Drosophila melanogaster: one gene and its partners. The protein of the gene in region 2 interacts with the protein of the main gene of each other region in a pairwise test. Each region holds a gene or a part of one and is shown on either strand. Other genes may lie near its edges. The genes, in order: CG1648, CG15282, Tsp96F and CG30184.

The links.
Region 1: the proteins of CG15282 (region 2) and CG1648 interact in a two-hybrid assay, tested with the Drosophila melanogaster proteins (one large-scale study listed by BioGRID).
Region 3: the proteins of CG15282 (region 2) and Tsp96F interact in a two-hybrid assay, tested with the Drosophila melanogaster proteins (one large-scale study listed by BioGRID).
Region 4: the proteins of CG15282 (region 2) and CG30184 interact in a two-hybrid assay, tested with the Drosophila melanogaster proteins (one large-scale study listed by BioGRID).

What each region holds. Positions count from the first base shown.
Region 1 is NT_033778.4:9,809,398-9,815,229, forward strand, and holds CG1648 (uncharacterized protein), read right to left. Parts: upstream 3,378-5,832; 5' UTR 3,352-3,377; coding exon 3,327-3,351; intron 3,268-3,326; coding exon 3,085-3,267; intron 2,572-3,084; coding exon 2,081-2,571; 3' UTR 1,922-2,080; downstream 1-1,921.
Region 2 is NT_033779.5:14,709,084-14,714,254, reverse strand, and holds CG15282 (uncharacterized protein), read right to left. Parts: upstream 1,785-5,171; 5' UTR 1,669-1,784; intron 1,613-1,668; 5' UTR 1,514-1,612; coding exon 1,502-1,513; intron 1,431-1,501; coding exon 1,203-1,430; 3' UTR 1,137-1,202; downstream 1-1,136. Other genes in the region: CG34165 (uncharacterized protein), read right to left, coding at 36-323, 415-426.
Region 3 is NT_033777.3:25,877,498-25,884,371, forward strand, and holds the start of Tsp96F (tetraspanin 96F), read right to left. Parts: upstream 3,931-6,874; 5' UTR 3,585-3,930; coding exon 3,519-3,584; intron 1-3,518.
Region 4 is NT_033778.4:23,562,282-23,567,340, reverse strand, and holds CG30184 (uncharacterized protein), read right to left. Parts: upstream 3,369-5,059; 5' UTR 3,263-3,368; coding exon 2,591-3,262; 3' UTR 2,561-2,590; downstream 1-2,560. Other genes in the region: Pi3K59F (phosphatidylinositol 3-kinase 59F), read right to left, coding at 3,529-3,974, 4,033-4,394, 4,469-4,742, 4,814-5,059.

The DNA of each region.
Region 1 (5,832 bases), on a different chromosome or scaffold from region 2:
GGGAACTTCTCCTCTCGCGCAGTTTTAGTTTCAGGGCCGATAATACTCCTCGCCTAATTGCCCACACACGCGCACATTTAACTTTTCAGATAAAATTAACGCCGCTGGCTGCGTGTAAAATATGCTCATAAGTGGAATTGGTCACGGCTTAAAAAGCGGATAAGCATCTGTTTGAGCACTCATGAATTACCAAAGGGTCAATCAAAAGGGCATCAAGCTGCTGGGAGAGACGTGAGTGTTTCAAAAACGCATGGCAATACCAACAAATAAGGTCATAATATATTAAAAACGATATTACGCTCACCAAATATATTCACTTTATGTCGCCCTCTAAACTTTGAAAATTAAAGGAAGCCCATGGAGGGTATGGAGTGGGCATACCCAACATGACCGGAACTCCGCTGCACGCCATTTTGCTTGGGTCAACACGAGCTGGGAGCATGTTAAACCATGATTAATATGTGTTGATAAACAGTTATTGTAATTAATCGCGCCGCTCGTATCGCTTAACTTTAAATCAACTCGCTTGGGCTAACCTAATTGGCGCGACTTTTGCGTGGCCGGCATAAATTTGAATTTGGCGCCTCGCACCCACTAGTACTTGAATCGCAAATGGAATGCATTTATCATTCGCCTTTCCAGTCAGCAGGCGCACTTATCTGAAATTAAAAATCGCTCTTACCTGAATTTATGTCAGCACTTTGCTGCCAATACTTTGCACACATTCCTAGCGTCCTTTCGTCCTTTGGTCCTTTCGTCCTTTGGTCCTTTGAAGTTGTGCGTTCAATTGACGTTGCAATGCACCGGGGTCACTTGTTAGCCACAACAAACTTTTCCCATAATTAAAACCTAACACAACTTTCGGCTTCTGTTCGACGAAAAGTTGCCCGACATATCGGAGTACACAATATGACCTCTTCTATTAGCAGATTTCTGCATGTTTCGGTCTATTTGTATAGATCCGTCCATCTCCATGGTCCGCTTTTCTGCGAAAGTTTCCCCTGCTGCTCACCTTGGATCTGTGAAAAGGTTCTGTAATGAGACAGGCAGCTCTGGAGGAAGGGGAAAGGGTAAGCCGGAAAAAACTTCTTTTGTCTTAGAAGCAAAATAAAATGTTACCACTTTTGGGTGAACAGTGGAATGTGTAGAATTTATAACTGATTTATTGGTTTTATTAAAGAAATTGTATATAGCTGTAATTATATGCTCAAAATATGTCCAGAAATAATATTATTTTCTGAACAACCAATGGCCAAGATAAGTCAGTAATTAAATAGTAAGCCCAAATAAATACATCAAGTAAACTTGTAGTTTGAAAACTTCATTAAAAAGTAATTTAATTTTTTTGAATGAAACGGTAAAAGCGAGATAAAACATGGATACCCTGTTTTCAAACCATTCAGCGTTCTATCCCACATGTAGGTGGCGCTATTTGCGCTTGCAGCCGAAGTAAATTCAGTGTGGCCAGATTACAGTATTACCATACATCACCATTTGGCGCTAAATTGAAAATGAGTTAATAAAAGTTTCAGTAATAATATAATCAACATAACATCAGTATATCCAAATATATACATATAATACGCTTTGCTTAGTGGCACCCCCACCAATTGAAAGACCACAAATCTCATTCGAATCCAATATATTAAAAACACATTTGCAATGTGTTGTGCAAGAGTTAAAGGTACTTAATCATACATCTCTACATAAACAGAATATACGTATATTAAAAGCATACTCAGCGCAGCTGTATATAAAATATCAAATGCCTCAAAGTAACAAAATTCGGCCGAAGAAGAAGAACGAAGGGGTTAATTACACTTTGTACGGATACGGACAGAGGATGTGCTGAAATGCTCACATCGAAAGCAGCGGCTGCAAAATAATCCGTCCGCGCGATATTCAAAAAATATGTAAATATATATATATATATATATTGTGTATATTCAATTGAGGATTTAGCAATCACATTACTGGCACTCGTTACATTGAAGCAAATTCCTTTCTATTTTTTTTGTTTTTGTATCTAAAGCATTTTCACATCAAGATATTTTAGGTGGCACCGCGAAGGGAGACGCCTCTACTTCTGACCCAGATGCAGCTTGCCCAACAGGGCGTTGGCCTGCTGTCCGGCAGACTCCTGGGCCTGTCCGGCCGCATCCTGGACGGTCTTCTCGACGGACTGGCGCTTCTGGTCGACATACTGGTTGGCCTCCTGCAGCTTCTGGTCCACCGTTTGACTGGTCTGCTTCAGTGCCCCATCGATGGCGCCCTCCGCCTGCTTCAGCTTCTGGTCCGCCACGTTCTCGGCGGCCTTCACGCTCTTGTTGATGGCGTCGTTGGCCGCCTTCTTGGTCTGGTCCACCGCATTGGCGGCCGCTCGCTGGGAGGCCTCCGCCACATTGGCCGCCACCTGCTTGGAGTTCTGGGCCACGGCCGCCGCCTGGGCCACCGTGTTGTCCACCGCCTGCTTGCCTTGGTTGACGGCTCCGGCGGCACGGTTCACACCCTGGTCAATCGCCTGTCCAGCCTTCTGAGCCTCCGCGGTGGCCAGAGCAGCGGCTTCCTTGGCTGTATGATAAAGAGAGATATTAGTGGGAAAAATTCTTACAAAATATCTTTAAAAGTGCTCCTAAAGATATTTATTGAATTGGTCGGGCTTTGCTCCAGCATAAAACATAGCATTGATGTTCTGTTTAGTTATAAATCTCTAGCACATTAAATTGCTTTTCACAATTATAGAAATATTTCAATATTTATGAAGAAATGTTTTCAAAAATGCGAATCTTATTCTTGGAAACATGTTTTACGTCAACGCGTCACTAAAGAATTCCATTTATTAAGTTCTCTTGTGTTTGATATGCTTAAAAGATTTGCGTTTTAGATAAATTGGAAATGGAATGCTAATGAGAAAACATTTTTAGCAAGAACTGAAAGTTGATTTTGAAAGTTATCTCAAACGGGACTCATTCAATTCTTCGTTGCAAGAGTTTTTGGAAGTCTTTAGAATTAATAACTCCAATTAATTCTCTAAGACATCTTTTATGTGTTACATTCATTATTTTTTGGATGTTCGTTACTCACCCGTGCTGGCGGCCAACTGCTCGGCCTCGCCCTTGGTCTGCTGTACGGACTGGCCCACCTTCTTGGCCTGCTCCTCGGCTAGCTTCTGGGCCTCGGCAGCCTTCTCGTTGGCCAGCTTCTCGGCCTCATCCTTCTTCTTGCTGAAGAGGTTGGCGGTCTTGTCACCGAAGTTCTTCAAGGAAGCTGGGGATTGAATGAGGAGTGCATTTTAGATCCTGACTGTGCTGGCTGGATGGGATTACTTTGGTTTTGGCGACTAGGAAACATGCTGACTGGCCCTCTGAATGCTAACTAAGCTCTGGCCTGGCGCTAATTATAATTTATAGCCTGATTGCAATCAGCAGGGTGGAGCGCCGATCAGATCGAAGATGCGAGATTTGAGATTTCAGATTCCAAATTCCAGACAGGTAATTGCCGAAACATAAACAAAGCAGCTGGAGCATGAACTATTTACATGACTAAATCGGATCGATTAGACTGGGACACTTTCCTATTAATAGAAACTGCGCAACTAGGGGCTGTTGAAATCGTGATCGCCAGCCCCATGGCGTCAGCCTTAAAATTCGAGACTTGAGACTTATATTCGCAATTTAATAGAAATTAACGAGCGCCAGCTTTTGCTGTCCCCTCGAATCTGCATTCACTGGGAGTGACGTGTGCGTCCACTCAAATAGAAACATTGTGCCGCTCAACTCGGAACCGGGTGCGAATCGGTTGGGCGAAACGGAAACGGGCGGAAATAGCCGAGGAATTTCTTTGTAATATACAGTATGCTTGTATGCGAATGAGGCAAACAAAGCTCGAGTATTCAAATTATTCGGCGTATGTGATGTCATAATGGGCAGCCGGCGAATGAAATCGCCCCCAAGTTTCTAGTGCGGTCTATTCACGCTTTCTGATTGTGATCGGGAATGTGTTTATTCTGATTCGGTTCTCTCCGCAGAGATACTTTAATGGCCCCATACACTCGGCTCATTTCCAAATAATTTAGTTTCGGCCAATTTCGCATTTCGCATTTCGCATTTAATGAGCCAATCGCCACCGCAGGAGCCGAAAATTGTGCGAAAATAATAGTTTCTATTCTACGCTTGCTGGGTATCGAGATTATGGAATGTGTGGGCTCGGCCGAGGTGTTGAAAATTACTTTTACTGCTCAAAAAAAACAGGGTGAATCAAAGGGAATTCAGACATTTCAAATGCTAATGGCTAATGGCTAAGGAATGTATGTATGTGGCATTGGACTTGCTTAACAATCTAGAATCTAGAATAGCAATTTAAGTGGAAGGAATCGTGCAATCTACACTGTACAATATGTAACTATATGTATAGAGATGCATGCTAAGTATATTGTGCTGTTTTCCAAATTAAAATCGTATTTAAAGATACTTAAAATACATTCGTAGAATGATAAGTTATTAAACTTAAAAAAGGTGGCCTTACGTATAAGGCAACCGCAGTGTTTAATATTCCCCGCCAAATCCTTTGGATATATGTACATATATATCTTAATGGCTTACACACGCGGAATTCCTAAGGCCAGCGGCCCTATTTAAGGCATTTGCGTAATACGACGCATTTTGTTCTTCAGTCTTTATTCAAAACTGTGGCAACTTGTGGTCAACACTGAAAACCGGCTAGAAGCATGGCCAAAAGGTAACACAATAAGCCCAGATTCTCTCACAGCCTCTGGCGTCGTTTTTGTTTTGGTTTTGGTTTGGTTTTAGTTTTGGATTTTGATTTTGCTCTCTGATTTTGTTTTCGTCGATGTCGCACTCGCAGCTGAAATAATGCGCAGAAGCCTCGGATAGAGGAAAACCTGTAGCTGTAGCTGTAGCTTGGGCTACATGGGAACCCAGCTCGGAACGGACACACATACGGGCATGGAACGAATATCTATGAGTTACTGCGATTTGAGGTCTGCCGACTCACGTTCCACACCAGTTCTGGATGCCTTAAAAAAAAGAGCTACAATCCGTGATGAATCGATGGAGCTACTGGGGCCGCCGTTGTTGTTGCCATTGCTGATGATGTCATGTGAGATACAACTGCACAATCGAGATACAATATACGAAAGAATTATATATGTGAGAGTAGCGCGCGTGGCAGAAAGGGGTGGCGTGGTACTCACACGCCCCACGAATTGTTGTGGCCACCCGGCGCAATCGTCATCCGACCGAAGGTCGTCTGAGTCAGCTGGCAACAGAAGGAAAGGCGGGCGATTCGTGTCCTGGCCACGGACAATCCAATGGCTGATGTCACGACCCTGCCAGGTAAATCAATAATCGGAAAGAACAAGGCCGGGTCAGACATCTAGCCCTTCGGGCGGGTTATGCTAATGACTATGAAGTCACTCCAGTTGCTCGAATCACAGAACTTAATATTCTTAGCGTTTTTGAGCTGTTGAAGATTACCAGCGAGTTCATAGCCAGCAATTAACTCACTTCGGCAGATACAAACTAAATGGGAGGACAGATCAGGGTCAAAGGAACTGAAGCATTTTATATCCATCTATCATCATCATACTCCAGAAGAAGAAAGCTCTGCTACCTTCGAATGAGTTAGAATACTGCTAAGAATTATTGCTTATTTCAAAACCATATATATAATCTTTTAATTTATTTGCATTAAACTTGTATTACAATTTTATAACATCTATATATGATATAATAGTTACTCGCAATATGCCCATTATTAGGCGGATGAATTGCCATCAAGGAATTTAGAGGGTTAACATTACTGGCAATTACA
Region 2 (5,171 bases):
GTCAGTCTATGTCTAGTTTCCCTCACTAAGGAGCTTTAGCCGAAGAAGTTAAATAGGTTCTCCTGCTGCTGTTGCTGCTGACCTCCACCGCCTTGCTGCTGCTGCTGTTGCTCCTGGAAGAACTCCACTCCGCCGCCGAAAGGACCTCTGAAGATGACACCCTCCTCCTGCTGTTGCTGCTGCTGACCACCGCCAAAGCCGCTTTGCTGCTGCTGCTGTTGTTGTTGCAGACCACCTTCAAATCGTTCAATACCCCTAATAATTTGACCAAACGGACCGAACTGGGCCGATGCAAAGGCGAGGAGCGCAACAAAAACGATTATCTAAAAAAATAATACATACAGTACAATACATTTAGTTTCAACTAAAAAATAACGTAGATGTCTATATTAGCCAATTTTTAGCGAAAAATACCGTGAATTTCATGTTGAATATTGAAAATATTCCTCAAGCGAACAATCTTATTTCACCGGAATGCTAAAATCAACTGTTTGAGTTTCGGCTGCTGGCTATGAGTATTTATCTGAATTTTTGTTAGGCTTTATGCCCATTCAAAACTGGTTGAGCACGGTGCGATCGCCGCTCGGACTTCCCTGTTCAAATCATTGTGAACGTTTGTGTTTATAGGGGATTTTTTCTGTTGTTGAAAACGTTCAAGTATCTGGGGTTGACGGGCCCACTAAAAATACAGGTTTGCAATCAGCTCTTCTTGGCGTATGCTCTTCGCTAATCAAATTAGGTTTTTTGTTAAATTATTGCTGTCAGAACATTTGGTTATTTCACAATTTTGCATGAGTCAGTATCTGCCTTTGGTTTTTATGCCAACATCATTTGCGAATTATTCAAGTGTTTGCAATTAATGTTGTTATAGCACAAAAATGTCATTAACCCATTAAGTGATTTTCGATTAGCTAAATAAAAACAATTTTTTATGTTGAAACACAAATTTTTAATTTAATTTAATAATTCATTTTTCTTGATGTTGCTTATGTCCAAAAAAATAAACCCAAACGTATTTATAAGCAAGCGAAATAAATGAAGGTTACTCATTAATAAAATCTCTGTCGATCTAAAGGCCTACAATAAGCCATTGTCAAAACATGTAAATGAGTATTTAAAAACAAAAACTGTTTTGTGTTTGTTATACTAATACGTTCAAATAATTTATTTTAATTTTTAGTCGAGGAACTAAAGTAACAGCCTTAGAAGAAGCCTCCTTGTTGCTGCTGCTGCTGCTGCTCGATTCCTCCAAATCCGCCGAATCCACCGAAGCTTTCCTGCTGCTGTTGCTGTTCTCCGAAGCCTCCGAAACCGCCGAATCCTTCTTGCTGCTGCTGTTGGCCACCGAATCCTCCGAATCCACCGAATCCTCCATATCCGAATTGAGGAAGCGCGGAAGCAACGGCGATAAGGGCCACAAAAACGATCACCTGAATGGCCGTTTATTATTTTTATAAAGTCCTTAATCCCTGCGAGGTGTAGCTCTGGTGGCCAAACTTACCAAGAATTTCATATTGAATTTGAAAATGAATTCAATTTGTACTAATATCCCAGAAGATGAGGATGCTTCGATGTTGCACTCGATACTGTGCCCTTTCTGTCACGTCTTTCTCTATTTATACGATTTTTTTGAATTCATATAATGTTTGAATTTCGGAGGTTCTTTACCCGCACTGAAATAAAAACTTGTCCCAGACACTGGACCAGACGTGGGGGCTTTCCTCACAGGTGACCAGCGTTTCTCTTCCAATCCGGTTTTGAATTTGTTGTGGTTATTGACCGGTTTCCATTTTTTTTTAGGGGAACAGGCGCCAGGTGCGTGGCTTTTGATATGAATTTTAATAGTTTGCCAATTTATATTTAAATAGTATTTTTACTGAATTTATGACTAAGCTATTCAGTTTCTAGAGGCACGTTTCCAAGAATCAATATATTGAACCCAAACTAGACGTTGTTGATGCTACTTGACGTTGTTGATGATGCCTTTGTTTCTGGGGTTCTCAAAACAAATTTGCTTCCTTACTCTAATGTTTACCATAGAATCACATTAATGTGTTACGTGTATATATAATTATTGAATCTTACTGAGCTGGACATTTGAACAAATCACCCCTTCCAATTGCCACATTTATATCCGGGCAAAAGTAAATGCAAATGAGCGTAAAAAAAACATATTTTTTTCAATTCGGTTACATTTCGTTGAGATAAACAAATTCCATTGACATAATCAAAAGAAACTTTGTTGTTTTCTTATTTCGTTGGCGTTCACTTCAAGAGCGGTCCAAACGAAGCGAACCAAGCTCACTCAATAGATAAGTGTCTCGATGGGGAATCACCTGCAGCGAATGGGGAATACTGGCGACCGGAGACCGGAGACCCTGGAAATTTTACCGTACCTCGACGAGGGTGAAGTGAAATTGCATTTGGTGTGCGGCGCCAGCGGCAATCGAGTTTGGCAATACGTGTTGCCTTTAACTTGGCTCTTAACCCTGCCATCCGAAAAGAGGGTGATGCGAAAGACTGCGACGACGAAGACGGTGCCTTTTGGCATACTTCAGTGGAGCGCATAAAACCCTAAATGAATTTATTTGGCTCATTTAAAGCAGCTAATTTATTTTTATTTCATCGAATTTGTGTTTAGTCGGGCACCACAAGTCCCTCTTCCCGGTTGGCAAGTAAGCTGTTTAGTGTGGGTACTAGTGACTTTATCCGTTTAATGTTCAAGTAACTTACAACGCAAACTCGCTCAACTTAACTTAAATCAAAGTAAACCCTCTACTTCAAATAAACCACCGCTTCAAAACTAATCATATAGCCGTTGCTTTTTGGAAATGTGCAGTAATTTTGGTAAAATGTCTAATGAACCCTTTTCGGGAGGCCTAGGCCCTTAAAATTGCAGAGCTCCGGGGAAAACACTCTGGGCCAACGTCTGCGTCGCGTGTCAAAGTTGCAACATTCAACATTCAACGCTCTTTGACTCCTTTGATGGTGGCCCAACACGACACCCAAAGCCGTGCACTGAAATTTGTTCAAATTCATTTCAATTACCGTCAATTTTCAATAATTTTGTTCAAATTATATTCCATTAGGTTCCATAAGTTCAAAAAAAAAACACTTTGCATAAACATAATTAGCCTTTTGCTTACAACGCAACATTTTTGGGACATTCTTTGCTCTTTTAAACTTTAATCGAGCTGAATTTATAATTAAATATTTGCGTCACCGATAGGTAAACAACAAACTGTTGACTACGTTAGTTTCTTGATTTACGTTAAGTTGGTATTGGCGAATGAAAGAAAGGTTAAATAAAATAGTAAAAAAAAAACATTTAAACTATTTAAGATACACATTCTTCGTTATATATAGTTCAGTAGTACCCTACGTTTCCAACCAAGCTGTTTTTTTTTTGATATAACTACGTTTAATTTTAAACTTTTGGCACTAGTAACTTGGCTTGACTTCTTTGGCACCCCCGTGCGACGCAATGTCTTAGGTTATTTGGGTGGCTAGCAATGCATTAGCCCAGTCAGAATGTTATGCCCCACCTGCAGGTGGGTGCAAATTCCTGGAGCTGAATATGTGGGGTGGCGTGTGGGTGGTTCCATTTCCATCCATATGAATTTCACATGCTTAAGCCGCAAACTTATGTGCGCGCACAGCTTGAAATCCAAGCTCACGTAAACTCAACTGGAAACTAAGCCCGAAAGAAATGGTATTCCGAAGAGGAAGATGTCGGCTCTTCCGTATCTGGTGCCGGGAACTTTCGCCAACATGTTAGCAGGGGCTTAGGACTTAGAACTCGACACTCAACAATTTTTGAGCCAAGTCAATGAGCAATTGACTGCCAACGCACCGCCGCCACCTGTCCATATATAGATATGGCAGGAACCTGCATATATTCGTGAAAACTTCCTTGCACTCTGCGGGCATCTGCATATTTTTGCGCAAATATGTTTTAATATGGGTTAGAAAAGTTTCCCACTGCACTCGCATCGCTTCGAAGGGCGGCGAAGTTTTCTTTATTGCCTTTTGGCCCGCTTTTTGCCCTCACCGCGTTTTTTTTTTTATACTAAGTGCACTTCCGGCTGGAACGCGAAGAAAACTGAATTTTACTTACAAAACCAAACTTGGAAGAGATTTTTGTAGGCTTTGACTTCATATTCATAATCCCAATCAGGAGTGGCATTCCCTGACCCCAGCTAATTTTAGGCACATTAAAACCAAAAGAGCCCCAAAAAAAGGGCATTAAATCCGTAAATGAACCAGTTAATAATACTAATAATTATGCCTTGTAAAACTTTTTATTTATCTATGCAGTTCATTACAGTCGTGCAATAACCTTGCTTAATCCTTGGTAAGAATTGATTAAAAACTTAGCAACTTAATTATTTTGCAGCTAATTTGTGACTTAAACAGTAATTTCGAATAATTAGTAATGCCGTGCAATTTAAATTGGGAAAAATAGCATGTAAGTTTCATTGTAATATAAGGACAAGACATTTTAAAATGAATTTCGGTACTTCATTTGTGCCACAGTGTCCTCGTCCTACTCGCTAATTGTATTTCTTCACCTGAGCAAACTTTGGCCTTTAATCCCTTCGCCCTGCGACCAACAAAAGCGGCCCGCACTTTGGGCCTCACTCGAAGATTATGTCGCCTTGGATTCGCTTAAGTTGATCCCGAGTAGTTTGCAGTTGGGTAACCAAGTGAAGATGCATCTGCGGCCGAGGAACGTGAAGAAGATGCAGACGAGGGGCTCTTAAAAGTTTGGTTTTAATTAAAGGAAATTTGCGTGCGTGGCACTTGATTTGTAGTTTTCCAGCACTTCCGTGTGTGCGGGCATTTTCCACCTAGGCACCACCCTAAAACCCCATAAAAAATATAAATATAATTGAAATTCTAAATTGCAATTGCCGCAAGTGCTCCTCCATTTGCAGATGCCAAGTTTCCGAGTTGCCAAGATGCTCCGATGCTGCAAATGCTGCAAATGCGGGCCTTCTCCGGCCTCAGTTCTGGGCAATTTCTTGTACCCGCTCGTAATTAGAAGCAAATGCAAATTTACACTTTGAGTGTGTCGGTGATGACGGAAGTCATTGGTAAAACCTGAAGCTGTGGGCGGGCAGAAAGTTGGCTCTGCCGTTGGAGTACTTCGGTTTCCACTGTTCGTTGCT
Region 3 (6,874 bases), on a different chromosome or scaffold from region 2:
GTCGAGGTGTCTATGCAAGTTCATTAATTATTCAGCAAAATTATTCATCGCAGGGAAATTGAGTGTGCGATGAGAGCTAATCAAGAGATGTAAACAAGTGCACATATTACATGGGAAATATGTAAATTTAGAACCACTTAAGAACCGATGGCTAACTGAGAAGCATTTCCAAATACAAAACACTTCTTATCTCGTATTTTTTCTCAGCCCGCAAGCTTTTGTAATTGCCAAGAGCATCAGTGCTTTCCGATAAGATTACGCAGTGGATCTCGCAATAAGCAAATATCTATTTAACTTAAAGATACAGCAAAATATAAGATACAGTTTTTGGCGCCCAGGAAAAACGGATGAAAAAGCATGAGGAAGTCTCGTAAATTTCATGAAAATCTTATGAAATATAAGAGAAGCGGAGACCGGCTTTTATGTGGGTGGTCCACGAAAGAGAGAGCTGCCATAAAGTGAGCGAGACAAAAAGTGTGCCACAAAGTGCACGATATGCTGGCCCTAAAGTTCATGAATGTGCATGTGTGCAGCTAACGGAAAAACTACTCATGGAAACGTAATACAATGTTGCCCCATTCGAGGGCAGTTTATTGAGTAAGTACATTGTAACCAGAAGCCCTTGTTTGCATAGATTTTACTTATTTTTCCAGGTCAGGTTTTCGGGTATGGATCAGTAACATAATCTTGAATTTGTTCATGTGTTGAATTAAAAAAAAAAATGTTTCTGAAGAAGAGGTTTATTCCTAGAGCTCTTATAAAGTATGTGTATGTATATACTACTTTGGATAAACCTCAATTCCCTTATCCTTTTAGGGAACAAAAGTTGACCTCGTTTTGAATCAGTCCCATTATCCCTGAACGAACTGAATCCACGCCTTGTTTGTAGCTCTGTTTGTTGGAATTTTTACGATTCCCCGAACGTTTTCACACACATATATTTTTACACATCTGACACTATGTCGCGTGTCCAGGACAAACAAACAAAAATCCTGCCGAATGGGCCAATAAATGTACAGAGTCCTTCGTTGACCCAGTTTTCAGAGCCGAGGCGTCGAAAGCGGAAAACGAGAGAGCATTTTACTGCTGCTAAATTGCAAAAAAAAAAATAAAATGGGGCCAAAAGGCAGCTGGGCTTGCATTGCATGTCCAGTCACAGTTTTGTCCCACAATTAACCGCATCGATGGCAAATCGCAGCCAACAGCCATCATGCATCAGCCATAAGCTGAAAATACAAACTGAAAAATGAATGAAGCGCCACTCATGAATAATTGAGTGAAAAATAGCACAGCGAATTAAGTATGTAGATGTGACATGTCACAGCGAATTGAAAATAGATACAGGCCAGCTTCGTTACTTGGAGAAATATTTTTAAATATTATTTTATTCACAGCAAAAGATTACATTTTTTTCAGGAATTTAAGAATTCTGCACTATGGAAGTCTGACTGTGCTGAAATAAATGGTTTTTTTAGTGGGTGGACAGGATAGGATTGTCAGATGGTCGACCGAATATTTGGAAATCTTTCAGTTTTGGTCACTGTCAACTTCAATGACGACAGCGCCGGCCGTTTAGCATTTTAGACGCTTATGGCATAGGCCTCCCCCAGCATCTTGGATGTGGGATATCGGCCCCATTGGAGCGTCAGCGTCCTCAGAGATCGTGGCGTTTGATCACGATGCCCCACGGCGACGATGAAAATGGAAATGTTTGGAAATCGATGCACAGTGGAGAGCGAGATTCAAAACTAATCGGACAGTGGTCATTTTTTGCGAAGTTATATAAAAATACTATTATTAAATTTATTATGGCTTTGTGGGGTAATTGATAACATGCCCTGGCTAAGAATAGCCTCAAAACAATGTATAAAAAGTCTTATATAAAATAATATCTGACGCACTTTCATCCATAAATCGCTCTAAAAATAGTTCAAACGATTAGTGAAACGAACTGCATCACAAACACATCACAATTTCTATCGCTCATTGTTCCTCCACTGAAATCAAACACACCACTGTGCATCCAACAACAACAACGATGAATACTAAAACATCACAGATCAAGGAACATTACACAGAAACCAATTATTGGATATAATCTTATTGGGATCGGTTAATTTTAATTTTTTTTACATGACATATATACAATAAACGAAAAATAATTGAAAGGTATTCGAAAGTTTCCAAACACGAAACTTGGCTAGGCATCAGTATTTTCTTTCTGTGTACAACAACGAAAAACTGAACGGACGCGTAAGTTTGTGTTGTTCCTCGCCCGTATTCGAAAATAGCTTTTGACTAATAAATACTATAGACAGAAATCGAAAAAAGGCAGCAACAATCAACAAACGAACGAAAAAAAAATTAGAAATCAGCCCGCATAAGAATCAAAATTTTAAATTTGTTGCCCAAAGGAAAAGCGAAACTGATTTCGCAAGCCGCGGAAGACAAGAGGAAACCCCAAGAAAAACTCAAGGAAACTCAAAACAAACGCAAACAATCGCTGTGGCAGATAGTAATTGAATGGAAACAATTGAAAGCCTAACGAGGCTATGTTGAAAGTCGAAAATTGCGTAAAACAACAAGCAGATAAGTTGGCCAAAGAAAGTAAAACCCTTTTTTTTGGGGTGAGGAGAGGTCCTTTTTTACCGAATTAAGCCAACCGAAGTTTGTAAAAATATCAACGGCACGTATACGTTATAAAAATAATAAAACAAAAAAAGAGAGACAGGAAGAGACAGAAGCAAAAGAAAAACAACTGAACAAACATGTGGAGGGAAAAGAAAACAGTGGGAGGTGGGAATGGAGATGCTTAAATGTTTATCTGTCTGTGTGTGTGTGTGTCCCCTCCCACAACGGAACTTCTATTGTTTTTATGCGGGAGTACGAGCAGAGCGGTAGGGAGTGCGAGCGGGAGATGGAGAGATACAGTGATGTCGCTTTTAAAAGCCAGTTGAAGTTTTGAAGTTATAAATGGTAGAAAATAATTTAAAGTCAAATAGTTCATAACAAACAAAACCGATTTGTTTAATTTCAAAAAGAAAAACCCTTCTATTAATGTTTTTAATTAACCGCGTACTTGAATATTTATATAATCTTGTCCATTTAATGTTTTTAAGCCCGCTCATTAAAAAAAAAATATTTAAGTTAATATATTATTATATTTATTTTATTATTTATTTATTTATATTTTTTACTTCCTTTTCGATTAAATATTTCAAGCCGTACTTAAATAAGTTTCAACTTATGTTTTGGGCACCTCTGGGATCGAGAGAGTGGAAAGAGGGACTGAAAGAGCGGTAGGACTCCAAAGAGCGTGCGCACGGCTCCTCCCTCCGCCCGCGCGCCAAGCGTGAGAAAGAGGGGCGTAGGGAATACACAACACACACACATTCGCTCACGCAACACCCACACACACGCGCGCGAAAAGGAGGTCCGTGTGTTCCAGTTGTTGTTGTGATGGGAGAGAACCGAATCTCGCATTGTTGTTGTTGCTGCTGCTGCTGGAATCTACATACCCAGAATAAAATGTTTATAAGGACCATCAGATATTTGACGCACGAACAGCAGCCGTTGAGACCCATGGCGCGGATTGATATTCTTAAATAGGTAACTCCTTAAAAAGTAGCTGCAATTTAACTGGTTTTTCAACCACTTGGAGATGCTCTTTTTCCAAGGAACCCCGAACTGCAGTGTCGCCTGCACTTTTCGACCTTTTGCACTTTTTCAAAACACCCGCTCGATTGTACTATATTTTTCAAATTTTTTTAAAATTTCCCGTGCTAAAATCCACCGATTTGAGCCACTGTTTGCGCGATTGGCCGTTGCACCCGATTTGTTTTAAAAATTTTATTTGTGCATCGAGGCGTCCGTCCAACGTAAAATTCTTGTATCAGTGCGACCATTAGCTCGGCCGTTCAAATATACCAGCGGGTATAGAAAGGCTAAAAACCGAAAAGTGGTGACCCTTAGAAGATACCAAAGAAGTGGTTGAATAACTTTGATGAGGCTTAGCATGGCTTGCAACCTGCTTGGATTTGCAGCCTATACGCAAACCAAAGTGGCCTATCGATATTTTGGATAAGTTCTATTGCCAATTTTCCCAATAAAATAAAAACTTCACTTGAATGTTAAAAGTAATTTAGTTTCAGTGTTTACATAATGTTCAAATAACCTTTTGATTGTTATTATGAAAGTTAAAAATTAAAAATTTAGATATTCTAACTAACTATTATCCCCAATGTTTCAGCTATAATCACCATATTTAAAGTAGATTTCATTTTAAAGTATAAATTTGTGGTTGTTTACATTATTTTAACATGTCTATTTAATTATTACTATGAAAGTGGGTAATTGAAAATTAGGATATTCCAGGTTTTTGATTTACTTTGGCTATGATTTTCCCAAAATATTTAAATCTGTAAATGTAAACAGTTTGAAATGTGACCTTAATAGTTCATGCTTTGTTCATTCTTCTGCGAAACGGTCACACTGTTCGCGCAGGCGAAAATGGCCTAAAGCGTGAAATGTTTAATTCGTTGTTGTTTCTCCTCCGCAATAGTTACTAATAGAAACAAATGCAAAATGGCTGTCTAACGTTTAAGTGCAGCGACCGCCGAAGATCGTGGAAATATGCATGAAAAGCGGCTCGCAGGCAAATGAAAGGCGCGTGAAAATGTAGCAGACACCTTTTTATCGCGAAAACGAACATCGGTGCAAAGGGAAAAACAAAAACCAAGGAAAATACAGCCAAACGCGAATGTGAATGTGAAGGCAAAGTAAGCGAAAAGTCCCCCAACTTTTTTGGGGAGTATCGAGTGCACCACATACGTTTTTCAATATATATTTCGATTGCATTGAAATCAGAAACATGACAATTTCCCCCCTTCCCTTATTGCTGTTGTTGTTGTTGTCGGCTTGTTGCAAGTTTGTGTGAGTGTGTCTTGTAATTTTGTTACGCAGTGGAGCGAAGTTGGAGTTTTGTGGAATGGAAATGGAATGAAGTGGAACGAAGTGGAGTGTAACCAAACACGAAATGGAAAAACGAGGAAAAAACCTTAAAGCGCAGCCTAAGCTTTAGTCGTACTGAAAATTTCTCAAGCGCTGCAAGCCAGTCTTTGCCAAAGTAAAGCCCCTACCTCCCCCCCCCTCTTTTTGCATAATAAACGAAAAACGTTGCGCCCACTTTACGCACTTGTTTTTATGCTTTCCGCGTTCAGTGCACTTAAAAACTTAATTGGTTCCCCCGTCGGCGGTGCTAATGTAGCGCATTTCACTGTTTTCAACGTAAATATAATTATATTAGCAAACGTTTACAAGCAAGATTGGATTAGTAATATGTAGTAGCTTGCTAGAAATCCTAATAAAAATGTGAATAATAATATATACGGTTTCATTTAATATTTTGAAAAGTTTTAATAGAAAAAAGTACAGCTTTTCTAAAAGCTACCCTTATATTGTGTTTCTTTCTCACGAAATAAACTACTGTGTAGAAGGTAGCGGTAAATATTTATGTTTAAAGTCCACTCTCTTCTATGTTAGAGGTATACCCCTCGCCCCTTGGCCACTGCGAATGCTGTATCTTCGCCAATTTCACTTTCACATTCGTCGTGGGCAGTTACAGCGAAGCCAATTGCTTGGTACTTCTTTTATTTTGTTTTTGTTCCCCACTTTGGGGCGTTTCAAATTAGAAAGTGTTTGCGTGTGTGTGTGCGCATATGTAAGTTTATGCGTGAGTGATGCGAGCGGCGTTTTCTCAATGATTTTGGCTAATTATGTAGCTCATTTTCGATAACCGCTTTAAACTGTGAAAATTGTGTCAACTTTGGATACTGTAACTTTACACCCGCCACATAATTTCATTTTAATTAGCGCTCGTTAACAGTTTTCCATCTCCCCTCTCCATTTTGTCGCCCTCTTGAAATTGCAATGTGTGGGAAACTTAATTTGTTGCATCTAGGAGGTGAAAGAGGGAGATAGAAACTGTGGGAGACGAGAAAAATTAAATGAACAACACTAATTCAAATGCAAAATGAAATGTACAGACACAGATACAGTTGTGTAACAATTGTTAATTAATTAACAGAAACTTTTAAACTCAATTTTTGAAAGACATGAATATTGAATTCTATATCAGGATTATTTAAAGCACTAAGCAAAGCGTAGTTAAAATGGATTAAACCTGTTTTCAAATATAAAATGAGAAGAAATGTGGGTTATTTGGGCTCAAACAAGTTTTAATTAACCTGTAAAAATACGTGACATTTTGTATATTTCTTGATTTCGGAGCTTTAAAGAATCCCTATAAATTTGGCCATCGCTTCATTTATACATTATTACATACATATGTACATATGTACGAATTTCAATCATTTACATTCCGCACACAAACATGAAAAGAGACACCAATACACATGCACCTACATTTGCCAACAGTCAACATAAATTAGTGCGAGCAACGGCACTTGGCAACATGCAACAATAGCAACAAAAGCGACATGATTGAAGCAACAACAACACCGACCAAGGAAGTTGCCAACTGTCCCGCTTTGTCTCTCTTATTGTCATTCGCAACTATCCCGCTCTGTCTCCCTATTGTCATTAGCGAGTTAGCAGAGCGCCGCTCTAATAACAGCGCCTTTACATTTCCATTTGCCAAGTGCAACAACCCTGCGTGGGTGTATGAGTGCGTTGTGTGTGTGAAAATACTATAGAATTGGTGGCAATAACAATGGAAAACTGGCATCGTGGAAAACTGGGTAACGCTTTTATAATTTATTCCAATTTTAACTGCTTTTTACGGCCTTCTTCTTGTCTGTTAATTGTTGTTATTGCTGCCTGTAAATCCCATGCGGACAATCTGTTATTTTCTCAC
Region 4 (5,059 bases), on a different chromosome or scaffold from region 2:
CTAACTGCCAGGCGACAGATGCGGGCAGATGCGAGGGGCAGGACGGAGGCAGGAGGCAGGAACGAGGGGATAGGGAGCCCCACATACTGGGGCATGGGCATGGGCATGGGCAGTATGCAAAGCCTTCCCCCTTTTGGCACCGCGCAATATGGTTAATATGGCGCGACATTTCGTCCGCCGCCGTTCGCTCAGCTCGTTCGCTTAGTCAGCCCGCTGCGCTCGATGCTCGCGGGGCTATCCGCAGGGGCAGGGGGAGGGGTAGTGGGGAGTATGGGGGGCACTAAATGTTTAGTAACCAACTGAAATAGTAGCACTCGTGTTAGTATCGGTTCATGAAAAACGAACGGCAGCGAAATAGAATTGAACGAAAAATAAATGAGAGCCACTTCGGTTTACACAGAGTTTCGCATGTAGCTACACGACTTGCACTTGGATTTGAATATGAATGCGCCACAGACGGGGTCAGCATTATAGGGCCATCATATAGTAACCACATTGGGTTTGAACAATGGAGTAGAAGCACAAATACTAAGTTGTTGAATCTGAAATACGCTAGTAACAATCATATTTCAAGTATGTTCCTATACCATTTCGCCTAGTTGGCTGACCCCAGCTGTATCTGCATGATCAGGGGCGTGGCCAGAGGGGTGGCGGTGGAAAGTGGTAGCAAACGTCGTCAGCGTAAACTGATTACCACCGGACAATCTATGGAGCTGAACTAGCGGCACGTACACAGCGTTTTTGGGGCCAAAACCCGAGATGGGGGCTTACGGGGCTCCGGTGCTACGATGGGAACCTTCGTTTAGGGAGTTGGGTTCGTCGACGGCCCGAAAAGTTCCAGCTAAAAGCGACTGCACATAGGAAGTCGGAGTTAAGACTTCAATTACAATGGTGCACCACCCATGGGTCGATTGTGAAATTATAGACGAACCACCTTTGGGTTCCACGAATCCGAAATGAGGCGAAACGAAAAGAGTGCGCCAAAAGCCAAAAGCGATTACCAATTAATGGAACGTGCTGCCAGCTAAGATTCAACCACAATTACTACTATTTCCATATGATAAGTTCAACAAACAATGACAATTCTGCATGCATTGACTTCAAGTAAGTTAGCTAACTTACATATGTATGTATGAATCACCTATTTTTGCTCTAATTATCTCAGCCTTTGTATCTCATCGTAACGAACTCATCACCATAACGATTAATCTTATTCACTCAATCGACTCGGAAACTCGCCGTTTTATCGTTATCACCAGCCGGCTAAATTGTTGCGAAACATAGTTGAAATTCCGAGACTTTGGGCCCAACACCCACCGCAAACTGCACGTAGTGAAATTTAGCTGCCAACTAAACCAAACATGCTGCGATCTAGAAAATGTATCTTTCAGATGCACACGCTTTCCACACACACCCACACAACCCCAAGTGCGCACACATAACTCCAGCTTGGCATTCCAACTGACTTTGCACACCGAATGGAACACGTGCTGCATTTGGACCGGCTCGAAGGACCACGACCGGGGAATTGGGGCTAGCAGCGGAGGGCGGAGGGAGTGGATTGGGGCTGGGCCGCCTGGTGGTTCGGTGGCTCGATGGCTTGCAGCCACAGACAATAACAAAGGCCAAGTTGAGTGCAGTTGGCAGCGGTGAGTCATGCTCGCTCGCTCGCTCGCCAGTAGCACACCCACCCACTCACTCGCACTCGCAGCTGCAGTGGGCTCTCTTCGGGAAGAGTGGCATGTGGCATAGTGCTCCCGATAAGAGATTCCTGTTGCTGCTGCTACTATACAACATTGCACAGATCGAGTGAATTGTAAAGGCGAAAACGGGAAATGATGATTACACACTCAGTTTTCCGCCTCTTCCAAAGTCAGAATGGAAATTGGGAAAGTCCTAGAAATTGGAATTTCTTGAAGGGAAGAATTCCAATCTTCAGAGTTAGCCAAGGCCCACTGTGCCTTTCGTTTTGGCACGGCGTCTAAGTGTTCATATGCACATGGCCGCGAGTGTGCTAGTCCCGTTTTTTTTCGTTTTTTTTCGTTTGTTTGTGTTGCCTCGGGCGGCAACTTTAGTGGCAACGGCTAACTTTTAGCAAAAGTTTTAGCAACGAGTACCTGCAACTAACTAAAACCACAGGCACACAGACCCAGAGCTCGAGCGCCGCCCGCAGAAGTTTCCACCACGCATCGAACTATGAAAATCGGAAAAGTTTGCAGACAGAAATTTCCAGCCATGCATCCGCACAATGGCGAAGTGGACGACGCAGTGCGTTCCCCCCGCAACTCACCGCACCGTTCGCCATCGTCATTAAAGCTGGACTCCTCCGCAGGCTTAAACCAATGCAAAAATCCACAAAATCGACACAATTCCGGCAAAAGTAACGAAAATCACACGCGGCGCGCCAAACAAACTTCCAAGAACCAAAGGAACTGTAAACGAACAGCTGTCAAAGTGCGCGCGCTCCAAGAGACGGGGCTGTTATGCGGCGAACAGCTGATGGCGCCAGGGCTGCACAGCAGCGGGCTTTCAAAAGGCACAACTACAGTGAGCACACGAGCAGGTGAACGTTAATATTTAATTACTTGAGCTATTTGAAAACCTCCGAGTTCCTAATCCGCTCCTCCTCCCTCTCCTTGGCATCCGAGTCCGACTCGGAGGACGAGACCTGCCGCTTCCGGCCGGAATGCTCCGATGGCTGGGCGCTGGTCAGCATCCTGGCGGCGATGCGCCGAAAGAACCAGAAGCGACTGAGATAGGCCTCCGCGCCCCGGCTGATGAAGTACAGCTGCAGTGGTCGCTTGCTCCGCTGTGGATGCATCTTCTGATTCGCCCGACTGCGTGAGTGGGAGAACATGAGATCCAGAGCGAAGGTGCAGTGCATCAGATAAATGGCGCCGGCGTACAGAGCCACAATGGCGTTGTCCCGACAGCACGCATAGAAGCTGGGCCAGCGCTCAGTGCGGAACTCCTCCAAAGTGGCCACATACATGTTGGCGTACACGGTGACCATGTGCAGGCCACCCAAGATCCCACCGAACAGCGCCTCGTGCTTCATCGTCGGCCGCTCGGCGTAGAAAGCTCCAATCAGTGATATGAAGCATATGATCACCGAGCCGCCGTACGTTCCGCACAGCAGGAAGATGTGCGGCACACCCTCCTCCATGAAGCAGGTCCAATGGACGAGGCAGCAGCCCAGGCTCAGCAGCAGCTCCATCATCTTGAACAGGAACCAAACGGGCTTCTTGGAGCGCACCTGCATGTTTGCCCGATTAAATGGTTATACTACAATTGTGACAAGATATATAGTATATGTGGATACATTTGGTTCCGCACAACGGACTTTTAGCTACAGGCCACCTACGACTAAAGCAAACTTACGACTAGGATTTAAAGGATAAATAATATTAATAAGTATTGATAAGTATAAGGTATTAATCTAATGTACACTTTTGATGTTAAACAACTCAGCTGAACCGAACTAGGATTACTCGCTCCTCCCACAATTTCTTGTGCAAGCAATGTCCTCTACTTCCGCCAGTATTGGGTGAACCGATGAATCTGCTCCACCAGAGCCGGCATCACCGCCGTAATGGACACGTCCAGGAGGCTCTGCAAGTGCTGCACTGCCTCCTCGTCTGTGAGGCCCAGCTGCAGGTTCTCCTCCACCTTCTTGACCGCCTTGTCGGGCTCGAGAGCGATATCCGGCACAGTGGCGTCCACCATCAGAGAGAACAGGTTGAGCATCACGTTGGCATGCCGCCGCAAGTGCAGGTACGCCGTGTAGCACTGCTTGCGGAACTCGTGGTGATGCTCGGAGCTGATGCCGCCCATGGCCTCCACCATTTCCTTGCTCAGCTTCATTGGCGGCGGCATGGGCTTGGGATCGCGTCCCAGAATGTAGCCGAAATCGATGTGGAAGAGCTTGCCGTTGGTGGTCAGCAAGAGGTTGTCCAAGTGCCGGTCGCCCACACCTGCGAGGAAATTCCAAGGATTAGCGGAATCCACCTGGTTACACTCCTTTAGTCTCACCCAGCAAATAGGTGATCACACAGTAGCCCGCGCAGCTCTTGATGTAGGTGTCCATGACCTCCGCCGAAATGCCGTAGGGTCCATTGTCGCACGGATGATGCTTGCGGAAGAAGTTGTGGATGTTGCCCTCCCGCGCCAGCACCTCCGCCACGGTGCAGGAGTCGACGTACTGGAGGAAGCCGTGCTTGGAGCTGGTGGCCAGCACTTTGTAGGGAGTCAGCTTCAGGTCGAGGTTCTCGCGCCTCAGCAGCTTGTCCATCAAAGTTATCATCTGCAGGATGAGCTGATCCTGGCGCAGATCATCACCGTGCTTGAAAATGGCCGCGTACTCGTGATGGGCAATCGAAGTGACAAAGGTGAGCCTGCGAATAGGATTAAGGATTAGGATTGAAGTATTCAGTGAGTGAGTAGAGTTTGTTGGTTGGTCATGGCGTACTTGGCTGGCATCAGGGCGCTCTTGAAGAGCGATGTGCGCATGGGCACGATCTTGGTGATGTAGATCTCCGGATCCAGGGGAAACGGAATGGGCTCGAAGTTGGTGAAGTTCACCTTGAACATGTCCTGTTCGGCCAACAGTTTCTGGAACTTCTCAGTCTTCTTATTGCGATTTCCCGGCTCCTTGGCCACCAGTTTCACCAGTTTGACCAGCTCGTCGATGAAGCGCCGCTGCTTCCGGAGGTTGTAGAAGATGCCTCTCAGGTTGAAGTTGCCTGTGCGGATGAGCGGATTAGAGAATTAGGGAATTAGAGAATGAGCCATGATTTCGTTAAATTACACCCACCGTTCTCTAGCACCTTCAGAAACATCTTGAGCACCATGGCGTACATGTCGTGGGCCCTCTCGTCCTGCTTCCTCACCGACTCCACTTCCTCCACCTCGATGGACAAGTACCAGTAGAAGTAGTTGGCCAGCGTGGCGTTCGTGCAAGCGCGCTGGATCAGGAATGTGCAGAGATTGGCTGGAACACTGCCGAAGCTGATGCCCTCGGCCAGCATTAGGGCATTGGAGTTTGAGTCGCAGGGCAACG